Linked DNA regions of Caenorhabditis elegans. The protein of the gene in region 1 purifies or fractionates together with the protein of each later gene. This does not show direct contact. Each region holds a gene or a part of one and is shown in the gene's direction. Other genes may lie near its edges.

What was found. The genes of interacting proteins can lie anywhere in the genome.
Region 2: the proteins of arl-6 (region 1) and T26C5.4 fractionate together in Caenorhabditis elegans (co-fractionation; one large-scale study listed by BioGRID). This does not show direct contact.

What each region holds. Positions count from the first base shown.
Region 1 is NC_003281.10:4,810,968-4,816,950, reverse strand, and holds arl-6 (ADP-ribosylation factor-like protein 6), read left to right. Parts: upstream 1-2,120; 5' UTR 2,121-2,136; coding exon 2,137-2,356; intron 2,357-2,772; coding exon 2,773-2,918; intron 2,919-3,385; coding exon 3,386-3,461; intron 3,462-3,511; coding exon 3,512-3,642; 3' UTR 3,643-4,470; downstream 4,471-5,983. Other genes in the region: F26A1.7 (Membrane transporter protein), read left to right, coding at 1-512, 793-911; C38D4.7 (C2H2-type domain-containing protein), read left to right, coding at 5,801-5,842, 5,887-5,983.
Region 2 is NC_003280.10:9,247,403-9,252,706, reverse strand, and holds T26C5.4 (uncharacterized protein), read left to right. Parts: upstream 1-2,184; 5' UTR 2,185-2,274; coding exon 2,275-2,341; intron 2,342-2,693; coding exon 2,694-2,863; intron 2,864-3,403; coding exon 3,404-3,574; 3' UTR 3,575-3,659; downstream 3,660-5,304. Other genes in the region: nlp-82 (Neuropeptide-Like Protein), read left to right, coding at 655-670; T26C5.3 (Acetyl-coenzyme A transporter 1), read right to left, coding at 4,012-4,099, 4,261-4,386, 4,445-4,635, 4,688-5,226.

The sequences.
Region 1 (5,983 bases):
TGGAGCTCAAAAGAAAATGCTCTTCGTTTCAATTTGGACAGCATTTGCATTTGCATTGGGAATTTTGAATGCTCAAAAGAAGAGATCAACATTCCGTGAAATTCCAGAATTCTGTGCATGGAAAGGATGGGTTCTGTTCTTTACTGGAATTATTGGAGGAATATTTGATGCATTTGCTGGATCAGGAATTGATATTTGCATCTTTTCAGTTATAACTCTCTTATTCCGTGTAACTGAAAAGACTGCAACTCCAACAACTGTTGTACTCAAGGGAGTTATTGCTGTTTTTGGATTCTACTACAGAGCTGTTATGATGGGAGATATTGATATTATGGCATGGAGATATTTTTCCGTTACTGTGCCAATTTCTGCATGTGGAGGTCCTATTGGATCATTCATTGGATCAAATTTACATCGTCAGTTGGTTGCTTCGTTTGTTTATATTTTAGAGACTTTTGCACTGGTTGGATTTTTACTCACTAATCCTGGTTTGGATTTGATAGTTGTCGGTGGTAAGTGTTTTCATAAAATATTAATCACTAAAAACTTGTGGGTTTTTCTGTTTGAAAAATATACAAAGAGGATTTTAAAAAATCAATGAAAACCTTTGTAAAAAATCTTAGATGTGTATCCTATATAGGCGGAAAGGATTAGCGTTTTTTTTTTCAAACTAGTTTTATAATCAAAAAAGGTCTAAACGTACTTGAATTAGTCTAAAATTTTAGTATGTTGTAAAAGAAATACGTTTTATACAGCAAAGAAAATACTATCGAAGAATCGGATCTATTACAGCTCTCATCATTATCGGAGGTTTCGTTTTCTTTTTCTTTGTGTCAAAGGCGGGAGCTTCACTTATGCAGACGGTAATTGAAAATGAGAAACAAAAACAACTGGAGAAAGCTCAAATCTGAATAATAGAATTTCATTTATGTAACGAATGTTTAGTATCTTCTCTGTCTTCTTTTTCTGCCCCTCATGACCACCTGCTTGTTTGCTTGTTTCCATGGTTACCTGCTTGAGATGCAAAGCGAAATATATCGACTTTTACCTCTTTATTCTTCTTTTTTATTTTGCTTTTGAATATTATGAAGCTTCGAAAATTATTTTAATTGATAATAAAATTGAATTTTACATTACAATTGTCTCTCCCTTTTATTTTCTATCATTATTTCCTTTTCTTCTCTGACCACGAGCAAGGTGACAGTTTTATTACCAGACGACGCAAAAATTGGAAATTTATGGATTTCGGTACCTTTTCCTTATTAATCCCTCTAACGCAGGATTAGTTGCCAAATCGACAGGCGGAAACTGTCAAAAAGGGAAGAGTATTGCGTAATTTAAGGAAGGAAGCAGGTCGCTATGGGAATTATTTTGAGTTAGGAAGGAAAGTTAGGATCAAGAAACTTGGACATATTTCGAGTCTTTAATTGTCAGCTAATACCGACTGTCTTTGGTTTTATTAAAATTTTGTCAACTAACAAAACTAACAAAATATTTGTCATGAAACAGTTTTTCTGTCTGCAGAATAACCTGAAAGCCAGCGTGTCAATGTGTAGTAGACGAGTGCAGGACATATTTACAAAATTATCCGACAATTTTTTAAAGTGCTTTTTTCTGCACGATATTCTAGATGTTACTGTTATTAATAAATTTTAAAAATGTAGAAAATTATTTTATTGATTTGAAAATTATGTTCATATTTGTTGATAAATTTGGAAACAACCTCAAGTACATACTGCAAGATAAAATTCAGTTAAAAAAAAGAGTAGTTTGTTAAACATAAAACTGGATAGTTCAAAAGTAATTATCAAAAAGGTTTTCAAAACTATTCTTATAAAACTATATTTTTTCTTCCACTGAACATCTTTTTCTTACACTTTAAGCTTCCAAGACTAAATTAACGTTTTTAATTTATCACCCAATTCTTATCAAATGATCCTAATTAAAAAAAAAACGGTTTAAAAATATATCCTAGTATGTCCCCCAACCATCTGTCAGATTATTGATACTTCATTTCTTTTTCAATCCTTTTTGAACTCTTGCCGAAAAGGTCATTATGACATTCTGTCACTTATTGACACCCAAAATCGATTAATCATCTAGAAAATACTTTGAAATTAAGATCTAAAAAGATCAATGGGCTTCTTTTCGTCATTGTCCAGTTTATTCGGATTGGGAAAAAAGGATGTGAACATCGTTGTAGTTGGACTGGATAACTCGGGAAAGACTACAATTTTGAATCAACTCAAAACTCCAGAGACAAGAAGTCAGCAGATTGTGCCAACTGTTGGACACGTGGTTACGAATTTCAGTACTCAAAATCTCAGTTTTCATGCATTCGATATGGCAGGACAAAGTATGTGAGACACGCTTGAATTTCAAATTTTATATTGAAATTGTAGAATCTTTCGGTCAGTAATTTATAAAACTTTTTCGGCGTAGGGCTCGAAACGGTCATTGCAATTTTATAGTTTCAAGTTCAAAAATTCCACTAATCGATTGATAAACTTGAACAACTAAAGTCGTTTTCCTGAACTGATGAAATATGTGTTAACAAAATGTAGATTTGGAAGTAGGCACGCGTGTAGGCATGCGGTAGGTATGATTATTTTTCGCGCCTTTGTAGAAACGTACAATATAATTTATCGGAGTTTTTGCCAGATTTGGCTGAAGTTGGAAATCTTTTCAGTATTTTTTTTTGTTTCGAAAGTTGTAACTACAAACTGGAAACATTTTCAAAACCACTCTTTGTTTTTTAATTATTAATTTCAGTGAAATATCGTAGTACATGGGAAAGCTACTTTCACTCTTCTCAGGGTGTCATTTTTGTACTCGATAGCTCTGATCGTCTTCGAATGGAGTTGCTCAAAGACGAGTTGATGATGGTGATGGAACACAAGGATGTGGTTTCCCGAGGGGTAAGTTTCTGTCTGTTTCATCATTGGAACAAGTTTATGACTACTGTCACTTTGGAAGGTTGAACAGAGGAAGACAATCATAAAACAGTCAAAGAAATAAAATTTGAGTTTCCTAAAAGCTAGCATTTTACGATTGTGCTCAGTTTCTAGCCTAGAATAAAATAAAATAGAATTGTTTCAGTGAATGGAGGTACTAAAATATTTTTATTAAAAAATCCCAAAAAACATCATAATTAAATCGACTGTTCAAAAATTTTAGAATTTCGAGATTAGAATTTCGACACAATCTAAATCAGATGTTTACTTTCTATCCTCTCCGTACATTTATTAAGTAGAATAGGTGTTCCTGCATACGTGTCTCCCTACTGCCTATGTTTTTTGTACAAAAGTTGCTAGGGTTTTTTGGCAGAAATTTGTATCTGAATAGGTACGTATAAAACATGCAGACGTTTATTTAAACTTTACAGATTCCAATAGTCATTCTTGCCAACAAAATGGACATCCCTGGAGCGATGACTGCTTCGGATATTACGGTAGCTCTAGGTACTCCCACTTTTTCCCTTCCCAACTCTTCGACATATTATGTTTTACAGGCCTAAACCTGTATCGTAGTGGTACCTGGTCGATACACTCAACGTGTGCACTCACTGGAGATGGATTGGACAAGGCTATGCAACAACTTTCAGCTGAAATCACAAAATATATGGAATCAAGGAGAACTTGAGAAATTAAACTGTTTTTTGTAAACAATGCATGTGATCTTGTAAATTCTTGTAGAAAACCTACCAAATTCGTATCAATTGGCAAAGCTGTGTATTTAAAAAATATAATTTAGATTTGGAAACACATATGTTAACTGAAAGAGTAGGACTAGATATGATTTTGTCTAAATACTCTTAAAATGTCCCAAAAATCCAAATATCTAAACATGTTTAAGATTTTTCAACTTTTCCAGTCAACTTTGGCAAATTGCCAATTTTTTTACCAATTTGGACTTTATGAAAAACTTCGGGCAATTTTGTAAATTTGAACAATCACAGCGTTTAAATACATATAATTTAAATATAATTAAAATACAAAACTATTAGAAATCATATTTTCCGGATTTCCAAAATTATGTGCTTTGAAAACTGAGGAATTGCCACTTTTTGTGGACTTTGGAGAAAAAAAAATGTTTTCAATTGTTAAAGATATTTTACCATCAAGATCTGATTTTTCTAACCCCAATTTTATAAATTAAAACAAAAAGAACTGAAAAAAAATCATAAATTTCTAGTCAAAAATTACTCAGTTTTCACTTATCATCATTTTGGACGTTGATCATAAGTTGTATTGTATTGTATTTATTACGATAGAGTTGTTCAACAAATTTGGTAATTTGCCAAAAAATTTGACAAAATAGTCCGAAAAGTTGTTTCAATTAGATACTTGGTTTTTTGTAATATGTTTTAGTTTTAGTATATTTGGTATGAAACTCCTTACAATTGGAGATGATGTTCTTTTTTCCAATGTTCCACATTTTCCTAATAATCCGTTTTATCTTTCCTTGAATACATAAACACATTCTCTTGAAGATCATACTAATTGTTTATATCACAATGTGCTCTTCGTCGGGCTCGCGTCAAAAGATGCGCGAAAAGAAATGCGACACCTCCTCCTCCAACTGGGTCGGCGTTAGGCTTTTTCTTTATTCCTTCCGCATCACGCTCGTAAATCGTGGTATCAAGCTGAGAAGGGCCGTCTTTCTCTGGCTTCGGTATCGGTATCTCATTGCGAAAAAAGCAAAGGATATAAGCACTTAAATTATACAAAAGATTATACATTGTTTGGTGTTTTGCCGCACAGTAATCCGCAGTAAGACAATCCAAGTGGTTGCGCCACCCGTCTGTGAGAAACCAACAAAAAAGTTTCACAAAAGTTTGGAATACCTGGGTTAAATTACATTTTAAAAAGTTTCAGGAAAAAGTACATTCTGCATTTTAGATTTTTTATTTCGTTCATGTTTTGGTAAATTACCAAATATTCCAACAACGTTTTTTTTAGTAATTTAGAGAAATTTAGAATTGAAATATGAATATAAAGTTATTTTTTTGATTCGTTTAAAATTATAGAAAGATGCTTAACAATTTTAGAATATAATCCTCCAAATAATCGGGGAAAATTCTTCAATTGATAACTTTCATACTGTATACTTTCAGAATGCAACATGTTATCTTCAGGCCATTTAAATATTTTTCTATATTTTGAAACTAAATTTTAATTAAAAATATAGGCACAACATTCTGAAATAGGCTATTTTGTAGAAGTGATGCACACACAAACTTTGGCAGATTGTATCTCAGCTGCTATTAGTCTTAATATCAAAAAATGGCAACAAGAAAAATATGTTTTATGTATTTTTCTCTACGACATTGCTGTTGAAAATTTGTTGATATCTTTCAAATGCAGAGAGATATGAGCTTCCCAAAAGAGCAACTACGGCAAAAAATAAAAACTGTATTGTAAAAAATTTTCAAAAATTTGCTTTGAAAATTTTTTTTTGGAAATATATTCAGAATATTCTTTTCAATTTCATTGAAGTTTTCTAATTTTTCCCTTTAAAACAAAATGTTTTTAAAAAACGAAAAAGATGAACTTCCGTATGACCTCACGTGCCTCTTGAAGAGATGGGCGAAGCAACGTGTGCCACGTTTTTCGTCAGAATCGACATTCTCGATTTTAACAGTTCACTTTTTCACCTTTTCCTCTTTCCTTTTCAGCTTTTGATTCGGAATTTTTTTTATTAGAACGTGTTCACGCTATTCTTCTCGTTGGGTCTCGCCACGATCACTGTCGTTTTAGCTGCTAAAAGTGCAAATCTTCACAAAATCATACATTTCAGGATGAGCAAGCCAAGCACTCCAGCTCCAGCCTCTGCTGACCAAGTGAGTTTTTCATTTCATTGTACCTAAAAAATAATCGTTTTCAGAATGGCGATTCCGCCACCCGACAGACTGCCCAGACTACTGAAACTCCCGCGAGTTTGCTTTCTGCTGTGGGAAATGGTGCACCGAATATGGCGGGAT
Region 2 (5,304 bases), on another chromosome or scaffold:
CTTTGTGTAACACGTTTTTGAATTAAAATATAAAATAATCTGCGCATGTTCGTGACGTATAGAATCAAGTTCAGTGGAGAGAACACGTAGACACTTGAAAATTTTGAGAAAGGGCAAGGAAAGTACAGTACTTAAAACTATAGGTACTTGAAACTTTTGAACTTCCAAATTTGAGTGTAAAGTTTAAACTACATCTGATGGAATGGGATGCTGAAAGACTTTGGTGTATGTGCCAGCTCCAAGCCTCCCGCCTGTTTTTTAAAGTTTATTCAGGTGTTTGAAGAAGGCTGGAACGTTTGCTTTAGCTGTACGTTGCCTAGTTGTTTTTTTACAAAAATAGTAATTTCCCGTTTCGGCCACATTTTTGTGTTTTTTGGAACACTGGGTAATTTTGGAAACTTCGGATTTGAACTTAAATTCAACTTAAAAATTCAAAAAGAAATAACTTGGTTGATCTAAAATAGTCTTCAACTAGAATGTAAATAAAAATTTCAGTTAGCTGGCGTTTTGTGTGCCTGTTTCCCAATTTGGCTTAATTTTTGGGTATGGCAATTTGGACTTAAAGTAAGAATTGCGTACCTATTTGGATTCAAAGATAAGATTATCAAGTTCAATTAAACATTTAAATATAAACCAATTTTTCAAAACTTTCAGAATGATGTCCGGCTAAAACTCGAGCACCGTGTCCCCCTTCCATGTGATCCAGCATCTCTCATTTCTTGGGATCTCCACGTCTTTTATCCTACTTTTCTCCTGTCTCTCAATGTTTCTGTCATGACATGTTCTCCAATCAAACGTCATCTGATAATATTCCAAATATTCTTCATTATCTCAATTCCATAACTATTTGTTTCCAGAGGTACAGAATAAGTATTGATTTTTGATCGATAAAGAAAAATAAATAAATGCTTTCGTCGTTAATTCGATGGTTTTTCATTCAATCACTCTCGAAATTTCACTTTCACAACGAAAATGAACTGACATACTTGATGATGGTCATATGATCAACTGATTGACCACTACAAGTCATTGAATTTGTCTTAAACTTGAATGAAGACCTGAATCACGTTTCTACGTCATTCAATATGATTTGTTTCCTATCACAAAATTCACATCTCTGATTTGATGTTAACCTGTTATTGTGGTAAAATATTGAATCGTTGAATCATCGATTTTAGAATAAAAATTAATAACGAAATTATAAACAATGTTGGATTTCGGTGTGGGGAATGTGGTTTAAGACACTGCGAGTCAATTTCAGTCGTGTATTGTCCATTTGATGTACAGAGATCGCAGCAAATGTATCTCAAACAAAAATGTCGCCACACAACTTGTACTATAGAAATTGCCGGCACAAGTCATTTGGGATTGAATTCGAGCTTACTCGGCTTGTCACCACACCACACAAGCCCTTATCATTTCAGATTCTACTGCCCGCCATTTTCCGTTAGGCTTTTTTCTTTTGACGCAATTCATAACTTTTTGATGCACCATGTCATAACTCTTTGTCATCTTCTCGCACACATTGCACAGTTTTCTGTGGCAAGTTCCACATATCTACAGAAGTCTACCATAGTGCTACAGAAATCTGAGACTTTTTTTTTTGAAATATCGACCTTCAACTCAAATTTCATAGTCAGTCAAAAACTATTTAATTCTGGAAAAATTTCGGATTGAAAAACAGAGCAAGTTAAGACTAGAACTATATAGCCGTAAGCACCAAAGTAACAAGAAGTTTTCTAATGTAAAACCAAGACCTGATGAAATCACAAACAATATCAAATTTACAACTGTTTTTGGTGATGTTTTAAATTAAAAATTGGTTTACTAGAATCAAATGTTGTTCGAGATATTTCAACTTTTCGAAAAAAAATCCAGTTTTTATCAAATCTGACATCTTTTTCCAGATGACGTCTTCCAGACGAGTGGAATTTGATGCCTTGAGACTTGACAAACAAGTCAAAAATGGGCACTTGAAATCAACAAGAAGGCAACAATTTGAAAATAACAAGAAATTATTTATTCTGAAGATCATCCTTTATTTATTCGATCCGAATATCTATTTCAATTGAATCAACATCGCCATGAACAGAACAGAAAAAAAAACTAGAGAAGACGTCGGTTGAGACCGCCCAGCAGTTGACAAACAAACTTTTTGAAAGAAATTTGAGAAAAAAAGAAACGAAAAAAGACGTAAAGTGTCTTCTCAAAAAGATCCACCCACTTCGCTTCACCGCGAACTGTTCCAGTCTCTTTTTGAAGAAGTTTAAAATTATGTGGTCAACTATTTTCTTTGTATTTTCAACATTTGTTTTAATTGTGGATTCAGGAAGTGTTGGATGTAAGTTTTTTAATTCTTATTGGACATTAGATTGAAACATGAATTGAGAATGAAGTTACCGTCAATCTGAATACTATTTTACCTTGTGTATTTGATTAATGGATACTTAGATGTTTATACAGTTAAGTTTATTATGAAAATACTTGAAGTTAAATTAGCCTGAGTTGTTTCATATTATGCAAAGTTATTGAATAAAACTCTGGTAGGCAGGCACATACGATTCCAGGTGCATTAGCCTACCATCGCTTGTATTTCATAGTCTATTGGAAATAAATTACCATGCAACTTAGTTGGTATTCCAAACTACAATAAACATATGTTCCCCATTAAATTTCGAAAGATTTCTTTTCAGTATGCCGAACCGAGTGCATTGAGCAAAATTCTCGAAAAATCGTTCGAGTACACTTGAAAGATCAATTGGTGATGGCTGGATTGTGCAATAATAACACACAACAAACTGGATCAATTGTCACACCATACGTCTGTCACAGAAATATCGGATTGTGGACTTTGGATGAATTGGTAAGGATCCTTTTAAATTTTATATTTGCTCACGCGAATCTTAGAGAGATGAATTGCCGGTTTGTCGGAATTTTTTAATTCCGGCAACTTGCCGGTTAGCCGATTTGCTGGAAATTTTAATTTTTGAAAAATTGCCGATTTTCCGGAAATGTTTAGAGGGTTTTTTATAACACGAAAACACTCGAAATTTTTTTCCCGTTTTCGTTAGATATTTTCATAGAATTTGCTTACTTTTCAAAATAGATGTAGGATTAAAATTGAAATTCTGATATTTCCAAAACAAGGGCAAAACCACAATTTGCCGAAATTTTTCGGCGTTTGCTGGAAATGTTCAATTCTGGCAATTTACCAAATTGCCGATTTGCCGGAAAAATCGTTTGCCGCGCACACCTGATCTGAATCTCATTATCTTCTAAATATTTTACTTGTTTTCTGAGTCGTGAGACCACCCGTATTTGATCACTCGTGACTTTTTGCAAAACTTTTAATAATAAGAGATATTATCAAGAGTTCAAAAAACCTTGAACTAACTATTTTCAGGACGAGGAAGGAACCGTCAAATTTGAAACACTTTGCCCCACACCTGAACAGTATCCTTTGGAGCTCCGTGCTACATGCCCACGAGTTGATGCCCAACACGATGACACCCCGAATGAAATGGACATTGACGATTATCCAAACTCTGGAGATACCCCGCTATCAGTGGTTTAATATTTCTAACATTATATAACCATTTATTATGTACTATATATAGAAAGAAAAGGACAGAAAGAAGAATAAATAATAAGAATTCAATCAAATTGAAGTCATTTCAATCATCACAAACCTTGGCATAATTATTATCACAGAGAAAGAGGGGAGAGGAAGAGAGAACACAGGATCTTTTAAAAATTATGAATGCCAAAAGAAAAACTGTGAGGACCAGGGGAAAGCTGTGGAGGAGAGAGAGAGGAGTCAGACCAAGCCATGCGATTCACTAAAACTGAGAATCATAGTTATACAAAAAAATGACAGGAGATAAAAATACATTAAACGCTAAAAAAACGCCCGGAAACATTATTATTATTCTACTATTTGTTTGTTGTGCATGCAAAAAAATAAAGGATTAAATTATTTTTAAGTAAGAATTTTCGTTTCATAGGGATCTTTTATTCGGCAGATCTTGATGGGAAGACTCTCCATTGGCTTCGTGGAATCTTCTGCAGGTACTTGATCTTGTTGTAGAACACTTTGTACCTGAAAGAAATTTATTTCTTCACAATTCTTTTTTTGGGTGTGAATGTGTCGGTTGAAGGTCAGGTCAAACGAATCGAAAGGAAAGGAAGTAACGTTTTAATCACGTATTTCATTCCAAATTATCACATTCATGAGGGGTGTAAGATTCTCTGTTTACTTACCAAATAACTCCTATAACGGAACAAATTGCAACCGAAATGAAATATCCATCAACTGCCACTTCACATACATCACCACCAGACGAGCATTGATCAGCTAACACTTTCGTATTACAAGCGTACAAAATTCTGAAAAAAAATTGGAAGTTTAAATTATCCTAAAGCAGTCGAGATTTTTTCAACTCACTCTTTCGTTCCCTTGACAACACAATCTTTGTAGGTAAACCAATCTGTCACTGCTAAAACTACAGTAACCGGCCAATTTCCTCCCAAATTGTTAAGAGTGTTCAACATGGTCATGTAAGTTCCACCAATTCGAGGATCAGAAATTTGAGCAATGAATGCCATCATTGAGACGAACATCGAGTATGTGGCAAGCTGTAAAAATTTTATAATTTTACAATTACTAAAATATTTTGATTTTTCCTACCTGATGGAAAATGTATCCGGTAATCCAAACAATATAAACCGAGTATTCAAACTTTCCATCGGGAAGACTAAAATGTGGAGTCCACCAAACAAGTGCAGCAAAGACTCCTCCAATGAAAATTCTGTATGGGAAAGCCAATAGGAATACGTTCAATGGACGAGGCCCAGCGGTCCATTTTCCAATCATCCATGGTAACATGATTTGCATTGGTGTCAGGAAAACTCCAATACCTGCTAGCCGATCCTTTGGAATTCCCATTTCGATCAATTTCAAACTGGTCATTCCATCAGAAGCGGCAAACGCTAGTTTACCAGTAAGAAGAATTGCGACCATATAATGAATTGATTTCAGTTTGAGAATCTTGTACAATACGGCATACGATTCAGCAACTCCAAGTTCCAATTCTTCATCCTCTTCTCCAGCTGGAACAACTTCTCCATTGTTTTGATTCGATGGCACTGACTTGTCAACTTCACGCTTCAGAACGAGTACCAATGTTGTGGTAACAATGAATACCCATCCCCAGAAGAAGACATACCCTGAAAAGTTGGATATAATTTTGAGAAAGTAAAATTCCTGTTCCCCGAAATCTAGTAGGGTTTCCCCACTTTGTTTGT